Diceros bicornis minor: one gene and its partners. The main gene of each other region encodes a partner of the protein of the gene in region 2 in a complex. Links are inferred from orthologs where the notes say so. Each region holds a gene or a part of one and is shown on either strand. Other genes may lie near its edges. The genes, in order: POLR1E, POLR1H and TAF1B.

Region 1 (3,745 bases), on a different chromosome or scaffold from region 2:
AGAGAGAGAACATTACAAATGAATGCAGTTTTTAGGAAATTCAACAAATGTAAGTCATTCTTCCTTTTCAGGAATGTCTACATGCTGGTGTGAGGGGCCCTGGGTCTGGGAACAGGCGGACTTGGTAAACCTCTCTAGATGTCCCCCACTGCCCTTAAATAAAGACAGAACAGCAATGCCAGGGCCACCACCACTACCCTCCCCTTCCCATTGTCTTTTCTCCCTGTCCCTACCTGCACAGAGTGTTGCATTTGAGGGCTCCAGTCCCAAAATTGTTTCCCACATAGGAAAGTCTGTCTGTTTCAGCTGCCTAAAATGCAGAGGGGGAAAAGGTCCATTACAACCAATGTTAAAAGGCATTAAGGTGGCCGGCCCGGTGGTGCAGCGGTTAAGTGCACGCATTCCCCTTTGGCCCACGGTTCGCAGGTTCGGATCCCTGGCGCGCATGACGCACCGCTGGTCAAGCCATGCTGTGGCGGTGTCCTATATAAAGTAGAGGAAGATGGACACAAATGTTAGCCCAGGGCCAATCTTCCTCAGCAAAAAGAGGAGGATTGGCGACAGCCTGTTAGCTCAGAGCTAATCTTCCTCACAAAAGAAAAAAAAAGGCATTAAGCATCTTGTCTCCCTTTTCCACATACGCAAAAGCTTTAGGATTCAAACCACAGTGGATTAGAACTAAATAGCCTCTGGGAGACAACTCAGCCCCACTATCTCTAAGTGAATCTGGGGTGTCCCTGGGGGAAAGGCAAGAGGACTTTTGAAAAGCAAGCTCCAGATAGTGCTGGCTTCTAGCTAGTTTGAAAAGTTCTTGGGGGAGCTGCACCACAGGACTTGGGAGCAAGGCCCTGGGCTCCCAGAACTTACAGGTATGCAACAAAATGATTCTGCAGGCAACCTCCTGGGCCCAAAGTCCAAGCCCTTCTTTTCTTTTTTTTTCCCGGAGGAAGATTCGCCCTGAGCTAACATCTGCGCCAATCTTCCTCTATTCTGTACATGGGACACCGCCACAGCATGGCTGGTGAGTGGAGTACGTCCACGCCCAGGATCCGAAACCACAAACCCAGGCCGCCAAAGCAGAGCACACAGAACTTTAACCAGTCAGCCGTGGGGCCGGGCCTCTCCAAGCCCTTCTTGAACCCCTTTGCCCACCTCTCCCGTGACTGCTCCTTATATGCTCTCAGGACGATGGAAGGGCTGCTTCACTCCTCAATTAGAGCCAAGCTTTCTTGCTTCCCTATGTCTGTCCTTGCTATCCTCCTCACCTGGAATACTAAACCTCAGCTATCAAACCGTCCTCCATCCTTCAGGGCTCAGCTCTAATGCACCCTCCCCCAGGAAGGCATTCTGGCAAGCAGAGACTTCTCTGCTCACCCTGCCCTGTACTCTCCCTCTCTCAGGCCCTGAGCTTTGTCTACTTGTATGAGTGTCCCTCGCATCCACTTCTCACCTCTCTAAAGCAGTGGTTTTTTAACCCAAAGAAATTCCCCTGCTGGGGACATCTGGAAATGTCTGACATTCTGGTTGTCACAACTAGGTGCTACTGGTACCTAGTGGGCAGAGGCCAAGAAAGCTGCTAAACATCCCGTGATGCCCAGAACTGCCCCCACAACAGAGAATCCTCTGGGTCAAAACGCCAACAGTGGCGAGGTTGAGAAACCCTGCTCTGGAGTACAAGCGCCTCAGAGTGGGGCCAGGGCTGACTGAGCTGTTTCCCTAGCAGCTTCCAGCACAGAGCACAGCCGGAGCTCAACAAACGCTCGCTGCATGAACAAAAGAACGAAAGGAAAGCCATCACTTGACCAAAAGTACAAAACTAAACGCAGCCTGTCCCCACACCCCAACCTGCCGGGGTTTCAGCAGAGTTCTTCAAGGGCTCATTTGCTAGCCCCCTTCTCTCCTCTCACTCCCTCCCACATCCACCCACACCCAAGGGGCCTCCTGAGGCCTGCGGAGCAGAGGCATCCGGCCACTGCAGCACTCACCAGGATCCGCTGACTCCTCTTCCTGGGGTTTGTGGAGTCGTTGCTCTTGTACAAGGTAAAGCGCATGTTGCCTGGATTCTGCAGCTTCCCATTGGAGAACTGGACTGTAAGATTGCAGCCCAAGAATGAGAGGGGAGCAGAAGGACCCAGAGTGTATGGTGGGAGGAACTGGACTCTCGTTGGGAGGGAGTGACTGGAGAGGAATGATGATGGCAAGGAAGCCCAGGGCCTGACCTAACGGGGGATGAAGGAGGTCCTGGTCCACTTGGGATGAGGGAACAGGGAAGCGAGGGGCATCCTGGCCAGGGGCTGAGACAGGCAGGAACAACCAGGGGAATGGGGCTGACTGAGGCCTCGTGCAGACCTAGAGAGACAGAGGGAATCCCTGCCCTGTGGAGAGAAGGAAACGCAGAAGGCGTGAGACCTGGCGGGTGTGAGGGGATTCAGGATCCTGGCTACATCCCTGGGGAGGGGGAGACTGAGATGTCTTTATCCTGCTGGGAGGTGGTGACAGAAAGACGGTGGGATGATAGAGGAGCCCTGGCCGAGCCCCAAGTCGTGGAGGACACTAGGAGGGGTCTTGGCCTGGCCGAGAAAGGGGCCCAACGGGGGGCGGGAGGACTAAGGAGGTATCAAGACGGCGGGGAGGGAATTACTGGGTACTGCTCCAGCTCCGCGGTCCTTACCCAGTACAGCTCTCTGGCTCTCGTCGGGCTCCCCACAGTACAGCCACTTCGCACTCGGCAACACCTCCACCGCCATCTCGCCTGCCCGCCGCCAAGTCCGGGAGGCACCACGGCCGCAGGCCAGCGCGCGTTTTCCCTCACACGGAGGCAGCGCGGCGGGCCGGAAGAGGCGTGGCCTCGCCAGGCTCCGCCCCCCGCGCACTTCCTCTGAGCTCTGAGGCGCGCCCCCCCGCCCATTCTTCGCCCCGCCCCTCCGCCTGGAGAGGATTGGTGTGTGTCCACGCGGTGCCCGGTCCCCCACAACCCCGATCGGCCTCTCCGAGGCGCAGCAGCTGATTGGCCCAGCACTCCGCCTGCGCGTTAAGTTGTGTGGGACTAGGTTCCCAGGGGCCCAGAAGTCCTGCAGTTCGGACCTAACCGTCATTGAGGCTGCTTCCTGCACAGCACGGTCTAGAGTGTGGTCTATCTTTCCTACGCTGGCAAATATATCTTACTAAGACCTGAAAGGCCAAGTTCAAATTTAGAACTCTCTGACAGGAACTACTTGAGCGGCTGGCCATCTCTAGGGCCTCCGTTCACACACGTGGGCATCCAGTCCTTAAGTCCAAGCTTCCTCCGCAGCCCTGCGTGCTCACTCCTCGGTCCTAGACGTGCATACACGGGTGGCCCAATCAACCCTGCGAGGATGGACCAGGGGGAGAGGCTCAGCAGGCTCATGAGCTTTTTGGCAGGGGATTCTTGGGTGGACCAGAAAGCAGGACACAGATCTGATGGGCATGTCTCTCCGTCCCTGCGAATTCAACCCTCCCTCCGCATGGGGGTTACCAGAGCAAGAGGGCCAAAGCAGGGCGTTTAAGCATGGACCCAGGCCGGAGCCCCTTTTGCCTTGTCAACGGAGGGTACTGTTGAAGGGCAAGAACTCGGGTTGACTCGCCTCTGTTGTCCAAATGGCCTTCTTTCAAGACTCATCTCCTCTCCCCATACAGAGACGCACCCAGGATGCTCCCAACAGCCCTAACAAGTGAGCTCGCCCTTGCCTGAGCATTTGTCATGCTTTTAGTTACCCAGTCTCAA
Region 2 (3,745 bases):
GGCCTAGCTGTCTGGGACACAGCTCTGTTTCCAGCAGTTAACAAATGTCCTCCTTTCTTTCAACAAATATTTATTAAGTCTAATATATGCCAGACTCTACAGAACAGACTTATGGGTATAAAACCCTAATGGAATATATTATATATTCCCTGATAAAGGAATCATGGGCTCAGCAACAGACCTCCTTTGGTAAGACAGACAAAATAAAAACCAGCTAAGTGAAATTATGGGGCTTGTCACTCTCCTGTAACTTGCTCAGTTTTAACCCCTTCACTATTGTGTGTCTTTCCATTATTGTTGAGACAGGCAGACCGGAGTCTCTCTCAAGGAGAGACCACAGCTTGTCTCTTTCAGAGGAGAAAATAGTATGGCTCCAGAACTTTTATATGTAAGGAACTTAGTACAGCTATCTAACTGGGTAGGGGTGCAAATGTTAGGAAGCAACTAGGAAACTCATCTAAAAGCTGTCCCTGGAGGATAACAAGTTTTTACTTTAGATTGTAGGGTACACATGAATTAAAATAGCAAGATTTTCTAAAGATACTTGTTCGCATGTTTTATAAAAGATTAAGGAAATGTCAACTGTCCACCTAACGGATGACGATGATGATTTAAGAGTTGGTTGGACGGGAGGCGGGGAACGAGGTGGAGGTGGGTGCGCAAATGAAAGCCAACCTCGACCTAAGTTTTAGTGAAATCCTACCCAAGGCTGCTCCCCTTGACTAGCCTCCCTCATCTGGCATCCGTCTAAGGAGGAGGGAGTCCCAACCTCTTCTGTTCTTCCACCTCCAAAGTCCTGAGCCCCCAGTGTCCCACTTCATCCCTGTTTCCCTTCTTCCCAGGGAGTAAGCATGCCTCCTCCTCCTTCACCACTTTTTGCCCGTTAAGCCGACTCACTCCTTCCAAGAGCAGGAAACAACCTCCAAGGCACGTGAGCCAGGCTGGGCTCTGCAGAGCGCTACAAGTGTAACTCAGAAAGTTTAGCTTTGTTTTTAACCACTGCGCATCCGCAAAAGGGGAACTATCGGCTCAGGAACCGCAGGAGCTGCAGTTCTCTAGTCAAAAGAAATTAGTATTCGGTAAGGTTAGTACGATTTTCAGGGGGACGGCCCTCCGCGCCTAGGTCCCTGTGAGGTGCAAGACCAAGAAAAATAAATATCCCAGGATTGGGTCTTGAGGGGAAAAGTAGCCGGAGGCCCAGCATCGATTACCCGTTTTCTTATCCGACCATACAGAACCAGGCTGAAGAGAGGCCCGGCCTGCACCTTCAGAGACGTTCCTCTGCCTCTCGAGGACTGTCAGGGTCACGTTTGCGATTAATTATGACGTCACAGCCAATCGTGAGCCGCAACGCGTGGACGCTCTAGCCCGCCGCGCGCTCGCTTCCCCATTGCCCGCGCAGGGCCGGCGCTCTAGCCCGCGGAGTTGGCTAGCTCCTCTCGCCTGCCCGAGGAAAGCCACTGAGTCAGGGGGTACTCGACGCAGGCTGGGAATACGGGACCCTTGGGCATACGAGGCATGCGTGGGAGGAGGGCTCCGGTTATGTATGCTTAGCTCCAGGGACAGAATAGAAATGACCCCTGAGTGGGGAGGGAGCTACTCGCTTGTTAATCAACTTCTTATTCCCTTCTCAGCCCTCGACAGCCTGTCCGTCATGGACCTCGCCGGCACCTCCTCCAGCTTTCAGTCGGACCTGGATTTCTGTCCGGATTGCGGCTCGGTCCTGCCTCTGCCCGGGGCTCAGGATACGGTCACTTGTACTCGCTGTGGCTTCTCCATCAACGTGCGAGGTGAGGGGCTTGTACGCAGCTGCCCCGGCGGAGGGCCCGGCATGGAAGGGTCGGAGGCTTGGGGACCTCAGGATCGGTGGGATCGGAGAGGGGAACCCTAAAGCAGGAGATCAGGCGCTCACACTTTTGGTCTTGGGACTAAACCTGAAGGGAAGGATGTAGGACCTCCTGGCCTAATCAAGAGGGAGTTGCGGGTGTCAGCTCCCTCCGCTTGTTTCCGCAACCGATTCTTACTGCCTGTGCAGACTTCGAAGGGAAAGTTGTGAAGACCTCATTTGTGTTCCACAAACTGGGGACAGCCATGCCTATGTCGATGGAGGAAGGACCTGAGTTCCAGGGACCCGTGGTAAGTTAGTTACATCAAGCATGGCCCCCCAAGGAGCGTTGGGAAAGAAATGGAGGATGATTGCTGAGACCTGTGGAGTTTTGTAGCCAATTCTAAGAGGGAAGAGGGAGCTTTAGAGCAGCAGTGTCTGAGGAGTGTGATAGCCTGATTCCTATGAGAAGTAGGGGGGATACGACTAGGCCTCCCTAATCCACTAGTTGCTTCCCAGGTTGACAGGCGCTGCTCTCGATGTGGTCACGAGGGAATGGCATACCACACCAGACAGATGCGCTCAGCTGATGAAGGGCAGACTGTCTTCTACACCTGTACCAACTGCAAGTGCGTATCCTTTCCCTTCCCTCTGCCCTGTCTCAGTCTGTTTGCTAACTAAACAAATCCAGTGATTTACTTTTTGTACCAAAGAAGCAATTGTTTCCTTTGGTCCCATCCCTCATTTCTGTACAGTTCAGATAGTAGGGAGATTTGTGGTCGTTTTTTATTTTTAAAAATTACACTTTTCTTATCCTTTTTATAGCCAGTGAACTAAACCTTTTAAGATATTTTAAAGGAAATGGAAAAATACAGAAGGCAAGTATTGCTTAGTGGTCAGGATGTTATGCTGGAATCTTCTGCTGCACTCAAGGTAGTTTTATTTTGGTGAGAATTAATCGTGCCTAATTTAAAAAACATGGGCTCTCTTAATGGTTTTGAGAACTCCTCTTGGTCTTTGGTGTTCTGCAGTTTCACTACAATATATCAAGATGTGGCTTTCTTTTATTTATCCTGTTTGGGATTTGTTGGACTTTCTAAAACTCAGGATTGACTTTTTTTTCATCAACCTTGGAAAATTATCAGCCATTATCTCATTGAATATTGCTTTTTCTGGAGCTCTAATTAATTAGTTGTTTAATAAACCTTCTCTTTCACCCTCCATTTCTCTCACCCTGTCTTTCATATTTTTCATCTCTTTTTCTCTTTATGCTGCCTCTGGGTAAATTCTTCAGGTCTCTCTTCCAGGTCACTAACTCTGTCTTCAGTTTATTTCAATTATTGTTACTTTAGAAAAAGTTTTCTTTTGAGTTCTACTTGATTATTTTTTCAAATTTCCTCAGTCATTATAATTCCCAATTCCTTAATCATATTTTAAATTGCTCCTTTTAGTCTTAAAATGTTACTTTTAAATATATTAAACATGATGATTTATACTGTGTCTGATAATTCTGATACCCATCATTTTTGTGAGTCTGATACTGCTGTCTGTTATTTTTGCTGACTCTCTCATGGTGCTTTTTTTCTTTGTTTTGTGATTTTTGACTATAAGCTTGGATTTTTTAGAGTCTGAAGTATGGGAATTCTTTGAGGCCTGGGGTGAATGCTGTATCCTCAGCATCTATGTTTCCTGTTCAGGTGCCTTGAGGCACTACCGAGCCGGAATTACTTTAAATAAATTCTTGGCTTCAGGTTTTTTGGAGCACATAGGTAGTATAAATTCGGGCTGCAAATCCATATAAGGGCCAGCTTATGGTTAGAAATTCTCAGAGAAGATTTTTTCTCCCTCTACCTTGTGAGGTAGTCAGATTCCCCTTCTGCAGAGGTGGATTTTTTTTTTCCTTGTTCACTTTTACACAAA
Region 3 (3,745 bases), on a different chromosome or scaffold from region 2:
CATCTAGTGACTTTAAAAACCATCTAGACAAAGATAACTCCCAAATGTATATCTCTAGTTCAGAATTTGCCTCTGAACTCTAGACTCCTATATCCAAATGCCTTCTTATTCTACCTGGCTGTCTTAGAAGCATCTCTACCTTAACATGTCCAAAATCAAACTCCTGATTCTCCCTCTACCCCACTGCCAAACTGTTCCACCCACAGTCTGCCCTTATTAGGTCAATGATAGCTCCACCCTTCCAGTTGCTCAGGCAAAAATCTTGAAGTCATCCTCGACTCCTTTCTTTCTCTTACAGCCCACTTCTTGTCCATGAAGACATCCTTTTGGCTCTACCTCCAAAATCTGTATTTCCAGGAACCATGTACTTCTCACTGTCTCCACTGCTTTTACCTGGTTCAAGCTACCATTATAGCTTGTCTAGATTATTGTAATAGTCTTCTGATTCATCTCCCAACTTCTACCTTGGACCACTATCATTCTATTCTCCCCACAACAGCCAGACTGATCTGTCAAACAAAAGTCAGATGACGTAACTCCTCCAATGTCTTCCCCCATTTCTCCAAGTTAGTAAAGTCCTTACAACCATATTTTGCCCCGACCTCATTTTCTACTCTCCCTTTAGCTCATGTTCCAGCCCCTCACTGACCTCCTTGCTGATCCTTAAATAACATGGCATAAGGTTCAGGACTAGGGCCTTGGAACTTACTGTTCCCTCCACCTGGAATGATGTTCCCAACATGGCTCTTGCTCCTTTGCCTCAAAGGTCAGTTTGTCAGTGAGACCTTTCTTGACCACCCCATTTAAAATGGAAACCACCGTTAGCTCCCATTGTCCTTTCCTGCTTTTCTCCTTGGCCCTCATGCCCGTTTATCATACATATATTTTCCTTATTTATTTTTGTCTCTCCCCACCAGAATATACTCTCCATGAAGGCTGGGACTCTTGTTGACTCTGTTCACTGCTGAATCCCCAGGACCTAAAACAGCGCCCGTTTAATGAATAAATCAAGGAATGAATGTGCCCAATGAAGGAACAATAATAAAGGCTAAAATGAGTGAGCACTTACTACGTGAGGCTCAACGATAAGGGACTCACAGGTAATATCTGATTGTCACAGAGGAGGCACCTGAGGCACAAGGAAGCAGAAGAGCCGTGAGAGGACACCCAGGTTTAACTCAGCAACCTGTGTTCTCCCCTCCAGCACCGCGCGCCTCCCCGGGGCTATCAGAAGCCCGCGGGAAGGGGAGAGCCCGAGCCCTCCACGCCGCCTCCCTGCAGCCTAACAGAGCAAGGGAGTCTCGGAATGAACGCCGTCAGAGGGGCGTGATTGAATCAGCTCAGCCTTAGGCACCGCCCAGTTTCTCACTGGCTGGTTTTAGTAACCTCGACTAGAAAGGGATGCAGTCTGGGAGGGGGATGCAGAATTTGCGGAGCTTTGCCCCCGGAGCCAGCAGAGGCTTTCCCGGGGCCGCAGGCGCCCGGAATCCAAAGTCAGGGTCTCCGTTTCCGTCCGGAGGGCTCCTCCCGGCGCTCCCGGAAGCTGGGCTCGTGCCGGGTAACGGGCCCGGGCGGCGGCGCCGTTATGGACCTGGAGGAGGCGGTGAGGGGGCAGCGCGCCGGGCGGGCCGACAGCGGGGCGGGGGGAAGTGAGGCCGAGGAGCAGCGGGCGGAGGACGCCGGCTGGCTGTGGGGGCCGCGGTCCCGAGGGGGCGGGGCGGGGAAAGGGAGGGCGCTGGCGCGCGCGTGTGCGCGCGGGTTTGGGACCCAGGCTGGAGTGTGCGGCGGGGGCGGGTGTGGGTGAGGGGAGCGTGCAGGTGTGTTTCCGGAGGAGGAGGGCTCCGTGGGGTGGCCACCCACACGGCTCATCCTCTCTCGACGGGACCCCGGGGTTCCCTTGGATGCTGGGTGGGCGAGGGAGCGCTGGGGCTGGGGCCGGCCTGCCCCCGAGCGCCCCCGCCGGTCCCTGCGAGTCCTCGCCGCGGGCTGGCGCAAGGATGCCCAGTGGGGTCTGGGGGCACGCCGAGGTAATGATGGCTGTCACAACAGGTTGATGAAAACTTGACCAACTTGTCGGAGTAAATTTGACATTCATTTTTGCCGTGCTGCATAAGATGCCTCACTCTGGGGTGTTAAAGGAGTGTTCGGTGATTAGATCAATGATGATGTCAAACACCAAAGAGCTAGGAGTCAGTAATTTAGTGCCAGGCTGTGTGTGTGCAGAAGGGCTTACTCCCCCAGCCCCTGTTAAGTGCCTGGTACCTGCGAAGCTGATGCTCCTTACGCTGCTGAATGAATAAATCGAAACTCGAAACAACCCTGATAAAAATCTGGGTCTTTTGTGGTGAGTGTGTGTCTTTAGTGTCCTGGAGGAAGTTCCGAATGGTAGGCTATTTCTGTTTTTTAAATCTTCTCTATACGTAAATCTTGTCGTCTTTTTCCCTCACGGCATTTTCAAGGAGTTTTATTTACTCATCTTTTTTTCCATTTTACCCCCACCACCGTTTCTTCTTTTTTTCCCTCACACACTGCATGTTTTAGAAACATTTCTTTAACAGTTTAATTTGGTTTCAAACTGCTCAAAGACTGAACTGCTGTTCTCCTTGTTTGTTGATAATGTCTCTGATACATTTTCTATTTCCTATGATTTTTTATTTATAGAGTAAAATTGCGGGGAACCCTATGAGTAGCATTGCAGGGTTTAGGTGCGATGTATTGAATGTGGTTTTCCTTTTCTCCTGTAGAAAGAGTTCAAAGAGCGCTGCGCTCAGTGTGCTGCTGTCTCCTGGGGTCTTACTGATGAAGGCAAATACTATTGCACTTCTTGCCACAATGTTACAGAAGTGAGTAACAGATCTCATTTATGAATTTGCTTATGTTTTAAAAATTGCTATTTCAGCCCAATATGTGCCATAATTCCCAAAGAATTGATCTGTTTTTATCACTTATGCAATGCCCAAATTCCAAGAACGTAAGCCATCTTCCAAGTGCTTACACAAGAGTTAGGGAATTTGTAGGTTAGATTTAGGATGAATTTTCGAAAGTATGTTGGGCCACATATTTAAATGATTTCCTGATTCAGACTGTATAGTCCAAGGTGAAATAATTAAAATTATACTTAGAAGATGATTTATTTCTTTTTATTAGTTAATACTTATTAAGAATTTTTAGTGTGTTGTGGTAGCTTAAAGGTTTGGAAAATGGAATGTTAGAAAGACTGAAGATTATTGGGAGTATTGAAAATACGTTTCATTATCGTTTTACATTTGTACAGCACCTCACAGATTACAGAGTGTTTTCTTGGCCATTATTTTGTTTCCTCCTCTTAACAACCTGTGAGATATACTATTTTTTTTTTTTTTTGAGGAAGCTCAGCCCTGAGCTCACATCCATGCTAATTTTCCTCTCCTTGCTGAGGAAGACTGGCCCTGAGCCAACATCTACTTCGAATCCTCCTCCTTTTTTTTTCCCTTTTCCCCTTTTTTTCTCCCCAAAGCCCCAGTAGAGAGCCACATGTCATAGTTGCACATCCTTCCAGTTGCTGCACGTGGGACGCCGCCTCAGCATGGCCAGGCAAGCGGTGTGTCGGTGCGCGCCCAGGATCCAAACCCGGGCTGCCAGTGGCAGAGCGTGTGCACCCAACCGCCAAGCCGCTGGGCCGGCCCCTTAGATATACTATTATGCCTATCCATAGATGGGGCAGGCAGGCCTCATGAGTTCAGTGAGCTTGCCAAAGTCACACAAG

Evidence for each region.
Region 1: POLR1H (region 2) and POLR1E share a complex: the UniProt entries of both Homo sapiens proteins name them as parts of the RNA polymerase I (Pol I) complex. The link is inferred for Diceros bicornis minor from reciprocal best matches to the Homo sapiens genes POLR1H and POLR1E.
Region 3: POLR1H (region 2) and TAF1B share a complex: the UniProt entries of both Homo sapiens proteins name them as parts of the pol I pre-initiation complex. The link is inferred for Diceros bicornis minor from reciprocal best matches to the Homo sapiens genes POLR1H and TAF1B.

The regions. Positions count from the first base shown.
Region 1 is NC_080767.1:6,484,683-6,488,427, forward strand, and holds the start of POLR1E (DNA-directed RNA polymerase I subunit RPA49), read right to left. Parts: upstream 2,821-3,745; 5' UTR 2,748-2,820; coding exon 2,672-2,747; intron 2,090-2,671; coding exon 1,986-2,089; intron 311-1,985; coding exon 234-310; intron 1-233. UniProt on the Homo sapiens protein: Component of RNA polymerase I (Pol I), a DNA-dependent RNA polymerase which synthesizes ribosomal RNA precursors using the four ribonucleoside triphosphates as substrates.
Region 2 is NC_080753.1:35,907,270-35,911,014, reverse strand, and holds the start of POLR1H (DNA-directed RNA polymerase I subunit RPA12), read left to right. Parts: upstream 1-1,516; 5' UTR 1,517-1,546; coding exon 1,547-1,790; intron 1,791-2,035; coding exon 2,036-2,136; intron 2,137-2,344; coding exon 2,345-2,454; intron 2,455-3,745. UniProt on the Homo sapiens protein: Core component of RNA polymerase I (Pol I), a DNA-dependent RNA polymerase which synthesizes ribosomal RNA precursors using the four ribonucleoside triphosphates as substrates. Can mediate Pol I proofreading of the nascent RNA transcript.
Region 3 is NC_080751.1:70,280,019-70,283,763, reverse strand, and holds the start of TAF1B (TATA box-binding protein-associated factor RNA polymerase I subunit B), read left to right. Parts: upstream 1-1,520; 5' UTR 1,521-1,585; coding exon 1,586-1,603; intron 1,604-2,744; coding exon 2,745-2,843; intron 2,844-3,745. UniProt on the Homo sapiens protein: Component of RNA polymerase I core factor complex that acts as a GTF2B/TFIIB-like factor and plays a key role in multiple steps during transcription initiation such as pre-initiation complex (PIC) assembly and postpolymerase recruitment events in polymerase I (Pol I) transcription.